Arabidopsis thaliana: one gene and its partner. The protein of the gene in region 2 interacts with the protein of the main gene of each other region in a pairwise test. Each region holds a gene or a part of one and is shown on either strand. Other genes may lie near its edges. The genes, in order: PARVUS and AT5G26790.

Region 1 (10,483 bases), on a different chromosome or scaffold from region 2:
ATGGGTATTGCAGGGCTGGTTATGTTGACGAGGCTTTAAAGCTTTGTGATCAAATGTGCCAAAAAGAAGTTGTACCAACAGTTATGACTTACAATATTCTGCTTAAAGGTTATAGTAGGATTGGTGCTTTTCATGATGTTTTGAGCCTTTGGAAGATGATGCTTAAAAGAGGCGTAAACGCCGATGAGATTAGTTGTAGCACCCTACTCGAAGCATTGTTCAAGCTTGGCGATTTTAATGAAGCTATGAAGCTGTGGGAGAATGTCTTAGCAAGAGGTCTATTGACTGATACGATAACATTAAATGTAATGATCAGTGGGCTGTGTAAAATGGAGAAGGTCAATGAAGCCAAAGAGATTCTAGATAATGTGAACATTTTCAGATGTAAGCCAGCTGTGCAAACATATCAAGCGTTGAGCCATGGGTATTATAAAGTCGGAAATTTGAAAGAAGCCTTTGCGGTTAAAGAGTATATGGAAAGGAAAGGAATCTTCCCCACCATAGAGATGTATAACACTCTGATATCTGGTGCTTTCAAATATAGACACTTGAATAAAGTAGCGGATCTTGTGATCGAGCTACGCGCAAGAGGATTAACTCCTACTGTTGCTACATATGGTGCTCTCATCACCGGCTGGTGCAATATTGGAATGATAGATAAAGCCTACGCTACATGTTTCGAAATGATAGAGAAAGGGATTACCTTAAATGTGAATATTTGCAGCAAGATTGCAAATAGTTTGTTTCGTCTTGATAAGATTGATGAGGCTTGTTTGCTATTGCAGAAGATTGTGGATTTTGATCTGCTTCTTCCCGGTTACCAGAGCTTGAAAGAGTTTCTTGAGGCCAGTGCTACGACGTGTCTTAAAACACAAAAAATCGCTGAGTCTGTCGAGAATAGCACCCCTAAGAAGCTCTTAGTTCCCAATAACATTGTTTACAATGTTGCTATCGCAGGTCTCTGTAAAGCTGGGAAACTCGAGGATGCTCGAAAACTCTTCTCGGATTTACTATCAAGTGATAGGTTTATTCCAGACGAATACACATACACGATCCTAATTCACGGATGTGCTATTGCTGGTGATATAAACAAAGCCTTTACCCTGAGGGATGAGATGGCTCTAAAAGGTATTATCCCGAACATTGTTACATACAACGCTTTGATAAAAGGCTTGTGCAAGTTGGGTAATGTAGATCGTGCTCAGAGGCTTTTACATAAGCTTCCACAGAAGGGCATAACTCCTAATGCTATTACCTATAACACATTAATTGATGGACTAGTTAAAAGTGGTAATGTTGCTGAAGCTATGCGTTTAAAAGAAAAAATGATTGAGAAAGGCTTGGTTAGAGGGTCCGATAAACAGGGGGATGTTGACATACCAAAGGAGGTGGTTTTGGATCCGGAAGTTAAATTGGGGAGCACAGGAGTGATCGAAATGAACTCAAATGAGCTTTATGATGTTAGGAGAGTTTCTGAAGCAGTAGTATGATGACGAATAACAAATCCTGACCTCTTGTAGAACTCTTTGAAAGATCACTTTGAGTCTTCAATGTTGCTATGATTGATGGGTAACATGAAAGGAGGCTACAACGAATCTCCTCCATTGATGTGGTATGATTGTATACTTCAAAGAAAACAGTGCCATTGTCTCAAGATCATTTGGAAATTGTGATCCTTCTACCAAACAATCCATCACTTGGCTTCAAATTTATCGGCCTTCTCTTCTGATCCTTGATGTTTTAAAGATACGAGACATCACATTCATGGAGCCTGAAATTTCGAGCGGCCTCAGGTAAGCACACATTACACTTGTTCATGCTCCTCTTAGTTCAATCAAGTTTGACAAACTATAGTTTTTAGGATATAAGACAAAACTAAGAATGATAATTGTCTTTTGTCAGGTTTATATAGTAAAGGCCAAACGATCGATATTAGTCACTGGTCTTTTTGATAAGCTGATCAACCGATCAAACCAGTAAGCTCCCCATCTCACGGTTGTTCTTGTACCTTCCAAAGCCAGATAAGACTCTGTGATCAGATATGTACCATATATAATGTTCAATGTAATAAATGAGATCTTGATTAAATAAGTAAAGTTGCTTCAGATCAACACAAGCTATTGATTTAAATTGACGAGCCACCTCTTTTTCCTTTTTAGAATGTGAACAACCAAACCTACCTTTGATTGTGTGTGCTATCTGCCGAACCGGAGAGCTTATTCCGGTCTGTCTCGGTTTCATTGTACTTACTTCGGTTTGTTTGAGACACGGTGGGTCCATTGTCGATACCATTGTCACATGCGCAGAAAGCTCAGAAGTCACTCAGCTTGAGAAAAATATTCAAAACTAAAATTATTAAAGCTAACAAATTTTGCATTTTGATTTATTTATATAAAAGAAAAATTTAAGAATAAAGTTAACAAATGAATATGTAGTGTATATAGAAAAATTATTTACACAACACTCCACTTGTTCCTAAATATCCAAGTTTTAGAAAGAAAGAAAATGTTTCAAAAAGATACATTTTGCTAGGTTTTCTAAGCATTGGTAGTTAGTTATGGATGATAAATTGTAGACTACAAGACAAACAATAGAATGGTTTAGAGTTTTAAAAAATTGTTTATCACAAAAAAAAATGGATGTATTTAATATCAACCTGTTACAAATTGGATTAATCTGGAATAGAGTGAGTATATATTACTTTTGATAGAGAACAATATTGTTAAATGGTAACACTTGTAGAAAACTTAGCATAATCTGCCACTTAGTGGAATATCTTTTACCATCAAAATGCGAAAGATATTTACTCCTAATTTTTCTTTATACTACATATATCCTAGTGGATTTGGAGGAAAATTAATTTTTTAAGAGATTACGAGGAGGTGAAAAAGAAATGTAGAGTGAATTGTTTCTTTAAAAAGGTAACAAAAAAATATAATGAAAAATGAAAAGAGTCTCAAAGGTCAAAACTGTAGTGACTGTACATAAATGTTTGATGGGACATTGCTCGTGCTTTTCCTTTCTTTCGCTCGGACCACCGACACTCTGTCTCCAATTATTTCCTAAAACTTTAATCTAATGACTTAATTTCGTCGACTTTCTAATTAATCAATTAACATTATGGATCTAATATGATTCAAACAAGCACGTCGCTGGTGACTCTGAATTTCTTTGTTACTTGGTTTATTGCTATTTCTTCAAGCATATATGTTTTCTCACAACGTTACGAATTACTTGTAATATGTTTTTCTGCAAGAACATGTCTTTCCTCGAGATATTTTACGTTACTATTTGCAAAATTATTTGCTACTATCCACGGATCCACCCATAAGAGTGATCTCATGGAAATATACGTGGAAAGGAGCTTTTATTATGGTTTGGTACTTTGGTTTTCTATGAGTTCGGTATCTTCATAAGACCAAAAAATGAAATAGCGAAAGTTAAGACACGTGATGTTGTTGTAAAGAGGGATGATGGAAATTAGAAAATGAGGCAACACATGTGCTCTTCAACCTACGAACCATCTACACATAGCTAGAATCCGACAATGGACATAATGTACCTTCATTCACAATTATAGATTCTTATGTTTGGCAATTTAAATTCGGTTTCTAAAGTTCCATTTGTTCCATTCCCCATATGCACAACGCAAATGCAGCGTTTCCAGCTCTAAATGCAAGATAATTCCCATTTAATAGTATTTGATAAAATTACACTTTTATAGAAAATGTTAAAAATTTAGCCATTTTGATCATTCTTTTGGTCACTTGAGAGTATTTTTTTTTTTGTATATTCTCTTCTATACTCCAAAACAAAACCAATGAAAACAACAACGAACAAAAGCAAAAAGCAAAATGTTTTTTTTCTTCTTCGGTTGTATGATTTACGAATCGATGTACAGTAAAAACAAAAATTCACCTGTATATTGTATATATGTATGTACCGGTATTAATAATAAGTAAACCGATCGAGACTGGTCAAGAATCCAACGCGAACGGCGTTTGAAGAAGATCATACGGAGCCCAAAGCGCGTCTAAAGGACAAGGCCGACCAGCATCAAGCCTAGCCCATGGCTTACCTTTCCCACTCCAATGCAACAGACTCACCGGACCAGGATGGAGATCTCTACACAGTCCTCTGAAATTATCACCTCCTAAACCGTGTTGGTTCCACCGATGATTAACCGGTTTAATCAAACCGGCAAAAACCAATAAAAACGGTGGTAACGAACCAAGCTCGTAAATTCTCATTCTCTTTTGCATCGCCATCCACTCTTCGATGCGTGACGTGTACGCGCCTTCGCGCCACCGGGAAAGATCGATCACCATGACTCCAGTGTTGAAGTAGCATGCTTTCCGATCGGCGAAGGTTAAAGAGAGAGTCGGATTAGACCAGAAGGTTGATGTGAAGTATGAAGTGAAATTGGCGTTGCAGTATTCCGGCGCGGCGAGGACTGAATCACGGCCGAGATCTGTGGCGGCGAGTTTTGCTATGTCGTCGACGAGGATCAGATCGGAGTCTAGGTAGACGACGCGGCGGACGCAGGGAGGGAGGAGATCGGCGAGGTAGCTTCTTGCGTAGTTTAAAGGACAGTCTAGTGCGGAGCGGATAGAGGAGGAGATAAGGCGAGAGACGGAGGAGACGTTGAAGACGTAGACGGTGAAATCAAGGTAAGGGAAAGAGGAGGATATGGTGGCTCGTAAGGAAGAAGCGTCGGCGGAAGCAGAGGCGACGAAGTGGAAAACAATGTTTTCAGGACAAGAAGAGTGTTGGAGGACGGAGAGAACAGCGGCGACTGAGCCACGAATGTAGGCGGCGTCGAGTGTCATCGCCACGTGGACAGCTCGACGTGAGCAGAAGATTGGTTTGGCGACCACGTCATCGTCGGACTCGGAGTCATCGATTAAGGGGCAATCTGCAGAATTGTAAAACTGTGGGGCTTCTTTGAATTTTTGAATAATTGTAGTGGCGGAAATGGGTTTATGAAGAAGAAGTAGCGAGAGGAGAATGAGAAGAAGAAGATGTTGGGACATGGTTTCTTTCTTCTTCGTCGACTCTCTGGTTGTATTGGAAGGTTTTGTTTCTCTCAAACTGAGAACAAGAAGAGAAGAGCTGTCTCTAAACACTTTTTATCATGTGTGTGTGTAAGAGAGAGGAAAATTAAAAAAATGGTTTTGCTTAGATTTTGGGTTTCTCTCATTAAAAAATATTTATATATTGATTAGATTCCAAGCCCTTTTCATGATTTTTAAATTTAAATCTTGAAAACTGAAAATCATATTATTGCGTCAGGTAACAAAAAAATGGTCAAATTATTTACTGAATTTTTCGACTTAAATGTGTTGTTTTATCGAATGCAGAAATGTGGGAATTTATTGTATCCACATGATTACCGAAAATCAGTGTAGATCCACGTTATAGGCTATATAATGTATATTAAATGGGTGATTACATTATTTATTAATGAGATTTGAGTTTTTATAATTTCCGTTTGTATTTTTTTCTTACTAAAAATGCACAAAATTAAAAGAGACATGGAAGTTGATATATGAGATTGATAAGTACTTATCAAAAACAAATTCACACACGTAATATCGCTATGTTTGTCTGTGCATACAGTACAAACAAATAGTTTTTAGAATTCGAATTTCTCGGATAGATATATCTCGAGAAATTATTGAAAATTATGTGGCTAGTACTTAGTACGATTCACAGTTGCAGAAGAATAGGGGGGAAGATATAGAAACGTGAAATGAATGTTTTGAGAATAATTTAACGAGCTGTTCAAAAGAATGAAATATAATTATATACATGACTTGGTCAATAATTCTTATGGTTGAGATGTTATGTTTAGCTTCAAGCTTTATAGTAAATCTATTCATTTTTGCTATAAGTTTTTTAGTTTTTTCTTTGAAGTTTCTATTATGGTCCTTTGTCACTTTCCATGACTACGAAATTTATTGGTGAAATGAAATACAATAAATAAATAAATTGGATCCATTTGAAAATTCGTATTATAACGCCTATTTGCATTTTACATATTTCTGCCACACTTGTTTTTTTTTTTGGCTTATTGGTTATAGTCTTTTTATTTTATTTTTAAATGTTAGTCTTTTATTTTCAATGATTGAATTTTCTTTTCTTTTTTCCTAAGAAACTTTTTTTGGATCATGGGGAATGGGCACATCAGCACATGGTCAGGAAGTGGGTTTCCCTTTTTCTTTTGCTGACGAATTTCTAATTACCTAATAATTGTAATAATTTGAAACGAAAATGTATACCTATCATATATATTTATTAGAGAGATTTAATTTTGGTTTTGACCGACCACAACTTACAATTATGAACTACCATCGTTTAAATAAAAAAACGTTGGCTGTAAAAAAAAAAAAAGTTGAAGAATGTAGCAATTTTCATCTCATGAACTTGTTCAGAGTTTCAATGTTTCAGAAATTTTACTTTTAGTGTCTCATTGCGGAAGAAGTTCTTTCATTTCCAATTAGGAGTACAAATAAGCAAGCCCTTTCCAAAGAATGCATTTTGAGTTCATAGTATTAAGCACATTTGCTCGTTTTGTTAGTACTGATGGTTATTATGTTGAATAATCAAAACTAAAAACTAAACTAATAAAAATTAAAATATTAGAAAAGTTTTCCATTATACAATAGTACTAATAAACACTCATAAAGATAAACGTAGAAAAGCAAGACGCGTGGGCCAAACGTGAAATGGAATAATATCTCAAATCCTAATGGTACGACTTTTCTTTCATCACCAAATGTGAATTCGTGAGTACTTTTGTGTTAAAGTCTTGTAGAATTTATACCATGTCATTTTTGTTTTTGTTTTTTTGCATACTTTTTTTTATAATTTTGTTAGTTTTCTTTTTACTTCAAATAATTTCCTTTCATTATGTAAAACACCCGCGATTAAGACAACTCCTTGCAATACACCATATAAAGATACTCCAAAAAGAAATACATACAAAGATATATACCATATAGAGTTTTTCAAGAAAAAATATCCACATATCGGAAAATGTTAAACCAATTATGTTCATGGCCATAATAAAACATAATATACGTAAAAATAAAAGGTTCAACGTAATTTTATGATTAGCCTCCACTTTACATATATTCATCAATAGTCATACAAATCCTCAAATTAAACAACCGCTAAACAATAGGTCAATAAAACCATTGTGCAAGGATCTATCTTGAATTTCAGCCCTCCAACCATTACTTAGGTAACCGGTTAGAACGTTTTATTTAATTGGTAACCAAGTAACGGTTACAAGAACCTACATTTATATTCACCAACTTACCAATCAAATCTTACTTGCACAATGTTTTTCATATGTTGCATACTTGCATTGAGTAAAAATTTAGAAATATACAGTTACCAGAAAAATATTAAGTTAAGAAGCCAACTTGATTTGTTGGGCCATCGTTTTATCTTGAAAACCCCTTCACTTATATCCTAAGGGAATTGGGTGCTCACAAAAAAAAAAAAAAAGGTTCGAAGGAATTGTGTGCTGAGACTTAAAGCATTGTGAGAATGCGAGGTTTCCTTCTTCTTTTTACTTTCATATATTTAAACTCATTTCATTTTATCATTATAATTCTCACAATATGACTATATATGAATTGTATATTTAGCGACCAACATATATAGCTCATTTTATTCCGGTGGAAAATCATGAAACTTTGAAAAAATATGATCGATGAAGCCATGAAGGCATATGGCTTCAGCCTTTTGATGACACATTAAATAAAATATAGAAACGAACGTAATACTAGTATTAAATAAGCATGTTGCATGTGTCATGTGTGCATGAAGGGAGGGTTATTATTATTAATACATGTTCATGAGTGTATGCACATAAATGGATAATTTTAATTAGAAACAGATGAAGTGGAGATTATTGCATCTGTGTGTGTGAACTCTCTGAGAAACAAATTAAAAAATTACAATGGGTCTCATTGTCTCAAAGGTAGATTTCGAATAAGCATGTATGGTCTACACTACACATTCACTTCCATGAGTCCAAAAAGCCATAACTTTAGTCTTCTTCTGAAATAGTTGCTTCCTAATAATTTAAAAAATATTGGATGCATTGGCTGCACGTGACTTCAAAATATTTGTATGTATATTTTGAAAAGAGATATAGAACAAAACTTGGACAAAACTACAATACTAGTACGAAAAATAAAGACACTGCACATCTAAACACAAACAATCATATTGCGTTTATATGTTCACCGTTGTTAGTTAATGTTTTTAGTAAGAAAACTAAAAGTAAGTAAAATTAGGTATATCCTAAAATATTTATTTTAGAAAAATATATAATGTGAACGGTCTAAACATTTGTGAGTTTTAATATAATTATGACGATTGAAAGTATCAAATAAAAAGTATTTGAGGCAAATAATTCTTCTGGTATCTAACCACACCTACACCTTACAAGTAATAGGGAGCAGCATCTTATGTCATGTCTTCGAAAGCTATGAACACTAAAAAATGTTTAGTTGCTGAAAAAATTTCACCAAAAAGGGAAGAAGAGTTCAAAGTATACTTAGACTCCCTTAACGAACAAACTAAACAAACATTTTTGCAGGCAATGAGACACTATCAATACAATAAGAGGCTCCCAAAACGTGTTTGCAGATAAACACAAGTAAAAGATCCGAAGGAGCCAACAACATGATGATGAATAATAATCGTATCCAACATTATGGGAATAATTAAACAACATAAGTATTGAGTGAAGACTCGCAAGTCAAATCCTTAAGAAATATCAGTAAGAGAATCCGACAGGTTTTATTAATATATGAACAATTTGCTAAAGTAGCAGTTTACAAGCCAACTCACAGCACATATTTTCCCATGTTTTTATGCAATAAAATCTAGAATAAAAAGCGAAATACAGTTAGCTAAATCGATTTCCTCACTAGCTCAAGAAGAGAGAAAACACAACAACGACGAAAACAATGAGTAACAATATCCTCAAGTGATGGTCTTGTTGTCCTTGTCGACCCGTGTGCCGCTGGTAACTATGCATATGCGAGTGTCCTCCATGAAACGGATTCGAGAAACCGTGAGGGAAGCCGCCAGAAGCAGCAGCTCCATACATGGCTGCATCAGGGAAACCATGGAAATGGAGGTTGAACAAAGAAGGAATCAAACCGCCAAACGCTGCAGACAATGTAACATTCCCGAACCGCGCACTCGCCATCGGAGCAGCAAAACCTCCCATGAACCCTCCAAACCCATGATGATGAGCAAAACCATGGTTAGGATCAGGAGGTTGTGCAGTTTCGGGTCTCTGTCCCGATGGACGGTTAGGCACTTCGAGACCCGGAATGGACTTGGACCGAGGGTCAGCAGACGATTTACCTCTACCGTACAAAGGAACCAATCTGTCTTCTTCGATCACGGCTTTGCAAACAGGACAGTCCTTAGATTGAGAATGGAGATGGAGCCATTTGTATAAACAAGGCCAACAGAACAAGTGACCACAGAGAGTGACAATAGGATCTTGAGCCAAGTCTAAGCAGATGTTACATTCGAAGTTACTCGAATCATTGTTGTTTGTATCATTACCGCTAGAACAAGAAGGGACATCAGACATGATTCACCACAAAACCTCTGCTTTTAATCTCCGACACTGGATTATCACAAGCACCATATAAATTAGCACAAATAAACACAGAGGATTAAATCAACTAATCAACAACTCTCATTGACCAAAATGAAATTAGTGATTCCAAATTTTCTAATTTGCTTGAATTTGTCACGATTCAATAATCATTAATGGATCATTCAGCTTTAATAATATACATTAAAAAATCCAAAAAAAAAAGAGAGAAGTAATTCAAACAATCAAAACGGAATCATAAACCTCTAGATCTCTCCGATAAACCACTAAAATCACCGATCATATATTCCCGTGAATAAAATAACTAACTTATCTCCAATCGTACAAAATCATAAACAGAAACGGAAAACGAGAAACAAAAAAATCAAGCAAAAGAGTTGGAACAATCCGAAATATAAATTTACCGATTAGAGATTTAGATCGGGCGATGAAGGGATCGACGGAACGATCGCAATCCGCAAAGGAACACCGTTCGCTTAAGGGTTAAGGTTGGCCGGAGGAGACAAGTTTCATCGAGAGAAAGATATTTTCAGAATATTAATATTTGTATTAAACCTGTTTTGTTTTATTTAATTACCCGCGAATTGACGTGTCTTTTGGACTGGTCCCCCAATTCCACGTGGGAACATGTGTGCACGTGACGGAGAACTAGTGGCTGTTTCAAGTCAACAATATCGTCTTAACCGTTGGATTGGTTGATAACGAGAGATAATGTAACAACTAACAAATCTAATGGATGTTGATGAATATAAATAATAGTATCAACGTACGACTTTAATGGCGGTCAAAATGTGACATTGAGACGGTTTCATTAAGTCAGTTTCA
Region 2 (9,834 bases):
AGTACAGGAACCAATCACGCCTTTATTGCGTCAGCTCTAGGTTTCCATAGACCTAGCCTGTATTTGTGGCTATATTTCAGTATCAATTTCCTCTGCAAAACCAGAATTCAGAATTTTCAAAAGAAGATTGACCAAAATAGAGATATGAAGAATTGAGAGAACAAACCCAAACATGGTATTGTTCACAAAATCTATTAACAGCAACATGAAAGAAATAGATCGTCGTGAGTAACAGGAAGTGTGAACAAACCTACATTTCCATGACAACAAAATAGAACTATAGGTACATACATTTCAATCATTCTCTTTGTGCCTAAAAACTTATAGAACTCAAACTTTTTCTTCTTCTCTCATTGATCCTCTATAGTTACTTCACTAAACTACGTAATGGAACAAATTCAATAGTATTGTTCACCAAAACCTATTAACAGTAACACGAAAAGAAACATGTCTTGGTGAGTGACAGGAAGTGCGAACAAGCCTATATTTCATATTTGAATGATAACCAACAAGCTAAACTAACGTTCCAAGACCATTTCAATCAATCTCTTTGTGTCTAAAAAGTTAAAAGAACTCGACTTTTTCTTCTCTTTTACCTTAAATTCTATAGATACCTCACTAAAATACGCAATGGAACACATTTTAAAGTAACATATTAAAACCTGTGAACCTAACTAACCCACTTTTCTGCAACAACAATATAACCAAATGCACATTGAAATCTATGTAACTTACACAGAACAATAAAGACTTGGAAACTTACATGTTTGCAAGGAATACCAAACTTCTTGAGTCTAAGCGTACGAGTCACGAGCAATTTCGGAAGATCGCCTAACTCGGTTTCAAGCTTAGCAATATGAGTCTCAACTCCTCCACCAATCCACTCAAAAACTCAGGAATTCCAACTTTCACTACAAAAAAATCTCAAAGTAGCAATCAAAAACCATTCACAACATCTCAATAGTTAGTCTTCCCTAAATACTTGCAAACTTTGAATAACAATAACGATCACTGAAACTGAATCTACTCAGACGAGAAGACCAATCATGAATCTCCACACAAATGAAACTTGCAACAACCCTAAGGTAACGAATCAGCCAATACACGCAAGTTTAGCATCCGCATTTCTCCGACGCAAAATCTGAACAAATAAAAACGGTTTACCGTGATAAGGAGCGGCGGATTTGGAGTAGAATCTATGGAAGTTAAGAGTCGAAGACGCTGGTGCTGTCGTAAGAACAGATCTCGCGCTCTGTATCAGTCGCATCCACGCCATTATCGGAGCTTTTCCTCGGGCGAGATAGAGATAGAGAGAGAGATTTTGGGTTTTTGGGTTTCTCTGATGGGAGTTCCTTACTACGACGTCGTTTTCTGAAATAAGCTCATCGATTGTTTATTAAACGGCTAAGCCCATTACATCTTTGGCCCATTAGCCTAAACCTTTTTTTATCACGTTCCCTTGCAAAAAAAAATGTAACAAAGATTTGTGGGTTTAGGGTTTTGTCCTTGACACTGTAGTTGAGCTATGGGTATGCCGTATGTGTATGTCTAAAGCTCAGACTATTTTTTTTCCAATGGAAGAAAAAGTCGTCAAATACGACGAGAAGAGGAAGAAATAGACGATTTGGTTTCGGCAAAGATTCCTTTGGATCTCATGATCGAGATTCCAATTAGATTGCCTGCTAAATCACTGATGAAGTTCAAGTGTGTCTCTAAGCTCTGAGTTTCTCTTATCCATTCTCGATATTTAACCAACCTTTATCTTACGGTCGCATCTCCACCACAACAACCTCATCGTGTAGACATACGTTTCGTAAACGAGTACCTGGGTAGTTCTGTAATGCTATCATTATCATTATCGTCTAGTAAGGACCACGGTTTGGTTATCCCAAGGATTGGAGGAGGAAACGACATAGTTTGTCATCGCGGCTTGATTTTATACAATCTATACGGAAAAGCGTGCATCTATAATCCTACCACTAGTCATCGCGGCTTATTTCACTCTGATGGATAGTGTAAGCATCATGCACTTGGAAACTTGAATGCCATTACTTTTTTTTCTTCTTTTTTGTGTTGTTAAAGATTATCAACATTATCTTTATTTGTTTTTGCCTTTTAATAATACAATGAAACTATTCATCTATAATTTAATAACTTTTAGTTATGTTCCAAACCTACAAGACCAGATATACGTATTCTATCTAGGCATGTCACTATGGCTAAATCGGTCCTAATCCATGACATGTCTCCGAAGCAAAATCTAACAAAGTAATTACAAGTGAAAACATTTGTTTTTTTTTTAAAGACTAAGAGATTCTGTACCTAGGTCCGTGAAAAAGACAAGTGAAAACAATCTACCGGAATAAAAAGTTGGTTTAGAGTAATCTCTAGTAAGGTTTAGAGTTAAAGATAGTGGTGCTATCTTTAGAACTGATTTCGCGTTCTGCTTCAGTCGTGTCCACACCATTATCAGAGCTTCTTCTTCACAAATCTTCCTTGTTAGAATTAACCTCAGCGAAACTTTTTGGTGCTTTTGAGTTTATTGACTCCCTCCCATAAGTCCCTTAGTAAAAGTGAGAGTAACCTATAAGCTCATTGATTGTTCATGTAAACGAACCAGCCCATTAGCAGGCCCAAATAAAAAATTCTACATTTTGAAAAATCCAAAATCAATCGCCTGAATAAGTCATGTATTTTCTAGCTTGGTTCTATAACTTTAGGTTGCTAAGTAAAAACATATTCAAAAATCGTTGAAAAATCAGAATATGAAGATTAAAATTTCCAAAAGCATTTTCAATTTAACTATGTAATATCCGTTTTCAAAATCCCATTACGATTTCGATTTTACAGCTTTCTTAATATAGAAACCATAGGTTTTTGTTTTTTCTGGTTCACAAGATTCGAACCTAACATAACATAATCATCCTTCAAAAGAAACCAAAACTAAACACAAATGATCATAACTCTCGAGTGAGCATCACGCGCCTCCTTTTGAATCACTAACATAAATTTCTCCGCCACTACCACACGGTGACGCAGCTAAAAATTAAAAAGAAAAAAAAACAATTCAAAACTTTCCGGTGATAAAACACCGTTCACAAAAAAATACAAAAAATCTTAACGAGATTAAGTAAAATCAAAACTAGACGGTGCAGCCACAAAAGAGGAAGAAGAAACAGAGCATGGAGACCAAGGCCACCGACTCGAACGCCGTAACAACTTTCCACACAACGTCGTCGACCACCACAGACAATAAACTCAGCTCCGGTCGACGCCAACTCAGCCACCTTGGTACAGATCCAGATGAAGTGAAATGGATCGGCCACCACCAGCGGATAGATGACGGCATTGAAGTGGATTCTAGTGTGTGTGTGTAAGATTCTACTAGTGTCGAATTAGTGTGTACCTGGCTAATTGTGGAAAAAAGGTAAAGCTTTTATGGCGGAAATGATGGGCATGAGAGGATTGATGTGGTCCATGCGAGTTTACAGATGTGTTTTTGATGTGTTGGATGTTTTTAAAATTAACGGTGATGGTTTAATTTAGTCATGTTACATTTTCGAGATGTGCAGCTGTGATTGGATATATTGGGATCTGTTTTTGGTTCTTTTTCAACTTTTATAGTAGTATTTGTTTTTTGAAAAGAGAAGGAGAATGAATAGTTGTTTCCTCCTCCATCATTGTGGTCAATGTGGCAGGTTGAAATATTTTTAAAAAATTTAAACCAAGTTGAGTTAAAATAAAAAAAATTATTGACAAAAAATGCAAAGAAATCACCAAATTACAAAAAGAAAAGCAAGATTAACCTTGAATAAAAATATTGTACACCAAACCTCAATCATTTGAAAAAACGACAAGCCGTAATTTTTTCCGAACAAATCACAAATTCCGCAGTCCGGTGCGGTGAACCAAACAATGCGTTGCGGTTTCAATAGTAACTAAAATCTCTACATATATGTGTATGTATATATTTTTGTTCTTATTTGAACCGCACCGTACTCTATTCACAGTTGAACTGTATGTCTCTATTCGCAACAGAATGAAAAAATCAAACTTGAGGTTGGTTAGCTCTAAAAAAAACATATGTTTTTTTTTTGTTGAAGTATTTTAAAGCAAGTTAAATTTTTTTTAAAATAAAATAATATTAATAGTCGTTTTTTAATGAGAACAATACAAATGCGAGTTTAACCTCGAAAAACTGTAAAACAAACCTCAATCTTTTCAAAAAACGACAACAAAAACCTCTAATTTGTTTTATTGAACTTTGGACAGTTTTTTTCTTTATTGTACCTCAAATTTCACATTTAGGCCATTCTTGAAGCATGCTTAATTACAAAGTAGCATTGTTTATGTGAAAAAGCACGAGACATCTTATTTCAGAAACACTTCTGTTTACAATATCAATTATCAAAGCTGCATCGTTTATCCTATAACTTTAGTTGCCATTATCCATCATAGCAACCTTAAACCAGTTGCATTACAAATTTTGAATTTTGAGGAACCAACTTAAGGAAGCAAAGATAAAATTTGAGAGACAAAAGGAAAGGGTAAGAGACAACATTGGAGTGCGATTTTTTTAGTTCAACTTTAGTTTCAGCGATACTTCAGACCATCGGTTGCGCCTCTGGTCCATGATCACTGCAAACGGTTGCACAATCGCCCCATAATGAGTCCCTCCAAAATATTTCATAGAAGAAGCTTATGTATAATTAAGTGTTTTAGGTACCTAAAGCATCTCAGAGATGTGGAAACGTGTCAATCCACACGATGAAAACTACTCTTTGTATCTCATCGTCTCTTTCTCGAACCCAATCGTTGGGAATTGCTTAGCATATTCTTCTACCATCTCACGGAGCTTTGACATCTCTGACTGTAATTTCTCATTTGATTGCATTGTTGCTACAAAGTCTTTCAACTTTGTTCCTGCAGTACATTATAGATACATCAATACAATCCCAAGCATGACACAGAAAAAGTAAACCGAACCAAAAGACTTTTTATATATACCTTGAGACTCTGCTTTGATCTTTAAGGCTATCTTGACGGCTAAATCAAAATACTCCGCCACTTTTGCAAAATCTTCCTCAATGAATCCTCTTGATGTGAGGGCTGGTGTTCCTGTAACCATACCATCATCCATCATAAGAACAAATCGGAACATACACGATTTTCTTGGTGATCAACAGGTCTCTATGAATTAGCATAGAAGTCCTTTTTCATAAGTAGTAGATTGCAAGAAGCATGAACATTTAGCACTTTTCGACATACTAACACTTTACTTGTTTCAGTGTTCTTTTTTGTTCAAAAATAACATTAATGGTGGTAAATAGCAGACGTATGAATGTTTACTACTCTTTCGACATACTAACACATTACTTCTTTCAGAGTTTTTATAAGAGCCTTACCCATACGGATGCCACCGGGAACCATGGCAGAAACATCACCAGGAACAGTATTCTTGTTTGCTGCAATATGTACTAATTCTAATACTTTTTCCACTCTTGATCCATCTATTCCCTGCAAAACCCATTTTCCAACATCAAATATTTTACAAGAGTAAATTAGCTATTCTAAGCACTTCCTACTAAGGTTAACAGTACAAAAATTAAACATTTTACACTTGATTAGCTCCATCTGGTCAGTATGTCGTTAGTAAAAATTGAAACCACACAACATATATGGGAAAAAAATCATCATTGTTTTTAGTTTTATCATATTTCAAGAGTTAAGATTCTCTAATACCGATGAGATTCAGTCCTTTCATATGCAAACTCGTACATTTAAAGCAAACATTTCCATCTAGATATCAAAGGGTTTGAGCAATTAAAGATAGAATGAGAAGTACCTTGTTTTTCAGATTCACCAAAACTAAATGATTATCAGTGCCTCCAGACACTAAATCATATCCTTTCGCAAGCAAAGTCTGCATTGACAAGCCATATGAGATGATTACAGTAGGTCTTATATCCAACTGTTCCAAACATGACAAGATATCTAAGGCATATCAACTAATTACTCAAGTAAAAATACGACAATCAGCAAACACAACGCACCTCAGCAAACTTTGAGCAATTACGGAGAACTTGATCCTGGTAGGCCTTGTACTCAGGAGTTCTTGCCTATAATAGAACAAATCGATAAGTCAAAAGATCATGAACAAGAGTTACAAGACCAAGAGAATCCTAGAGTAGACCTTAATCAGAAAGTGAAAGGAGATCATGCGAACACATTAGACAATGGAACACAGTTTCAATAAAAGTTTGATGACTGAACCTGCTTCAGAGCAACTGCTAGACCCGTTATAGTGTGATTATGTGGACCACCTTGCAGTCCAGGAAAAACAGCTTGATTAATTCTGTCCTCATAGTCATACATGACCTATCAGGTAAAGTTACAAACGACATAAAATTAGTCAGTAACTGGAAGTTATTTACTCATTCATATACAATATAGAAACGAAAAATTCACCTCTTTCCCTTGTTTGTTAATCTCTTTTAACCCCTTCCTAAAGAATATCATAGCCCCTCTAGGACCGCGAAGCGATTTGTGAGTTGTAGTCGTAACAACATCTGCATACTCAAAAGGAGAAGGAATAACGCCAGCAGCAACCAACCCACTAATATGAGCCATATCAGCCAACATAACTGCCTTTTGCTTGTTACAGACCTGCAATTTTTTATGCATAACCTTGAAAACTGCAACTTTTGTAACTAAACTTCACACTCAAGAGTTGAGACAATACTTTACCTTACGAATACGTGCATAGTCATATAGACGAGCATAAGCACTTGCACCCGCAACAATAAGTTTCGGTCTGAAAAGCACGGCACTCTTTTCTAGCTGCAAATTATTGTATCACAAATAAATAAACTTTGGTTTAAAAACTGTTCAATTACTTAACATAAGAACCGTAAACGAAAAGCTTGTATGTATTAAACCCATATCTCAATGGTATATTGGATAAAGATAGAATGTTGAAGCATTAAGCTAAGCTGGCTATGAACTAACCAACCTGGTCATAATCAATGTAACCAGTGTTCTCATCCAATCTGTATGGCATTGTCTCAAAAAAGATGGATACAGCCGATATTTTCTTCGTGTCAGTCTGCACAAGAGCAAATAAAAGAAATGAGGAAAAGATACAATATCAATTCCACAAAGAGATGAGAAAAGAAAGTCAAATACTGACTGACCAAGCTAGAGAGACTAGAACCCAAGTACCTGATAACCATGAGAAAGATGTCCACCATGAGGTAAATCAAGTGCCATGATTCTTTCATGAGGCTTCAACAATGCAGTGTAAACTTGGAAATTAGCTGGTGATCCTGATAAAGACTGCACATTGACTACAAAATGAACAAGTGTCTCCATTAGTAAATTTGGTTTCTAGTAGGATTTCTTTAATCACAATTCACAACGAAAGTATGTAATTAGCACACCTCCCCATTTAGAAGGATCTAACTGAAAAGCTTCTAATGCGCGTTTTTGACATAATGTCTCAGCCATGTCAATGTACCTAGTCAATAAGATGCAAACAACCTTAAGCATCATATACTAACAACAAAGTAAACCATTGTAAGTATAACAAATACATACTCATTTCCTCCATAGTATCTAGCTCCAGGGTATCCTTCACTATACTTATTAGTCATAACAGAACCAACGGCTTGCATCACAGATAGAGAAGTGAAATTCTCTGACGGTATAAGTTCAAATCCCTGAAAAAACTCGTAACATCATCCCCCAAATCAATAAATCAAAGCTTCTATATATGTGAATTTGATCATTCTCACTAAATTTTGTTGATACCTTCCATTGTCTAGCCTTCTCTAATTCGATAATATCCGCAACTTCAGGATCGATTTCATCTAGAGATGCATTCAATTGCTTAATCCACTGATAAAGAAACAGAAAAGTTTAAATCGAAATAAGCCATTCGTTAGATTATATATTATGACGCATCTGATCTAATTGATGAGCTTACACTAGAACGAGATTTCTCCGATTCCGCCATAGCTGCGGTTGATAAAGACGACTGTGTATAAGAGTCAAAAACGGATCAGAATCAAACGAAGGATAAAACGTGAATGAATCTGACTGTGATAGGATTTTACCATGAAACGGAGTGAACCGCCATTAGAGGAGAGAAGCGAGATCGGTTTCTTAACGGAAGAGGAGAGTCTACGAAGAGCCAACGCCATTTTTTTTTTTTCTCTATCTATCGTCTTCTCTGTTTCTCTGAGTGAGTGCGATTATATAAAAGCGGTTCTGCTTCTCAGCTTCTGTATAAGTGAGCATTGGAGTTGGTGAGAGGTGACCGAGATTCCTTTGTTTTATAAGCTTTTTTTAATTTCTACTCTCGGTGCCTTACTTAATTATTATTTTGTTTCTATGTATTTGTCATTTGATATTGTTTTCTTCAATGCAATCATATTTTTTTTATTTGTAATGTCTTACAACAACAATAAATTATGTTACATACACACTATCTTATTTTGCTCCTGTTTTTTTTTTTTTTAAAAAAAATTAAATTGTAGAACAATATAAAAGCCTCTAGGTGGAAAAGAGGATCCTAAACCCAAGTTATAATCATTATTCATTAGAGAAGTCCGTGTAAGCTTATGTTATATTGTGTAAGACTTTGATTAATGTAATCAAGGCTACTTTTTTGAACAGCCACATTCAACATTTTATAAAACATAATTGAAACTTATTTTGTTCTTGAAGACAACATAAAATCTTTCACATTTATCTCTTCTTTACATTTCAATAAAGTTCAATGAGCATCAATCTATTCATGTATTAGAAATGTCAACATACACATATTATGAAATTGTTTAAATTGAAAAGTGTTTTGAGAAATTTATCAGTCTATGATTATTTTTTTATAAGAAATTGTCTTGTTGAAGTTTTGTTAACCGAGTCGATATACTCTTCATTTTTCTCAAGGTCAATATAAGTGTGGCATGAACAGTCAAATATTAGATGTGTGGGTGGTGTGTGGTTAGCTCGGGATCATCTTGGCCAAGTTTGATTAATATGTCAAGAGTGTGCTTGTCATAAAGTGGTGATCTAGTAACTGTTGTACCGCTACAATTTCGATTCCATGAAGTTGGCTTTTATATATGGTGAATCTTTTAGACAATATCAACAACTTGAATACTTGATGTTGGGCGTCGTTTGCTTGAAATAGTTTCATGTATGGTCAACTTTGAATTGAATAGTTGCAAGGGCTGTCACACGGCATAGACAGTTTCATTTATATCTAACCCTGGAGATCCAACGTGGCTCCACAATCACATTCTAAGAATCTATATGATGAAAAGTTTAATTTTTAAAATATGCTTTATTTGATGTTATTAATTTTTTAATCATGTGTTTCTGTTGCTTGAAAGTTGATGAAACTCTGGGGTTGTTAAAAAAAGAAGAAGCTTGTTAATCTCGAAAATGAAGCAATTCAAAAATACTATCCAAAAAATATGAAATTCACTTTACCTATCTCTAACTTTTTTTTTTTAACAGCAACTTCTTTTATTAGATAGATGAAGTGTAATCCTCGTGAAGGATGTCTACAAGAAAGTTTGGTACATGGAAGTAATTGACAAATGAAAGATCATTGGGTCTCCGAGTTCTCGCTAGACAATCCGTTGCCTTATTGCTTGATCTCGCAGTCCATTGTATCTTCACGCTCGTGTACTTCTGTTGCCATACTCTTATTTCCTGTATAAGATTATGAAGACCGAAGTTGTTTATTTCACTTTTGAGAAGTTTTGGGATTTGACTGTTATCGCTTTCAAATATTATTTTCCGGTGCCCTTTTATCCACATGTGTTG

Evidence for each region.
Region 1: the proteins of AT5G26790 (region 2) and PARVUS interact in a protein complementation assay, tested with the Arabidopsis thaliana proteins (one large-scale study listed by BioGRID).

The regions. Positions count from the first base shown.
Region 1 is NC_003070.9:6,667,474-6,677,956, forward strand, and holds PARVUS (Nucleotide-diphospho-sugar transferases superfamily protein), read right to left. Parts: upstream 5,305-10,483; 5' UTR 5,034-5,304; coding exon 3,978-5,033; 3' UTR 3,622-3,977; downstream 1-3,621. Other genes in the region: AT1G19290 (Pentatricopeptide repeat (PPR) superfamily protein), read left to right, coding at 1-1,490; AT1G19310 (RING/U-box superfamily protein), read right to left, coding at 8,951-9,631.
Region 2 is NC_003076.8:9,416,666-9,426,499, reverse strand, and holds AT5G26790 (uncharacterized protein), read right to left. Parts: upstream 3,622-9,834; 5' UTR 3,350-3,621; coding exon 3,143-3,349; 3' UTR 2,801-3,142; downstream 1-2,800. Other genes in the region: SHM2 (serine hydroxymethyltransferase 2), read right to left, coding at 4,775-4,923, 5,008-5,118, 5,406-5,517, 5,846-5,971, 6,054-6,119, 6,274-6,378, 6,469-6,666, 6,748-6,840 and 7 more.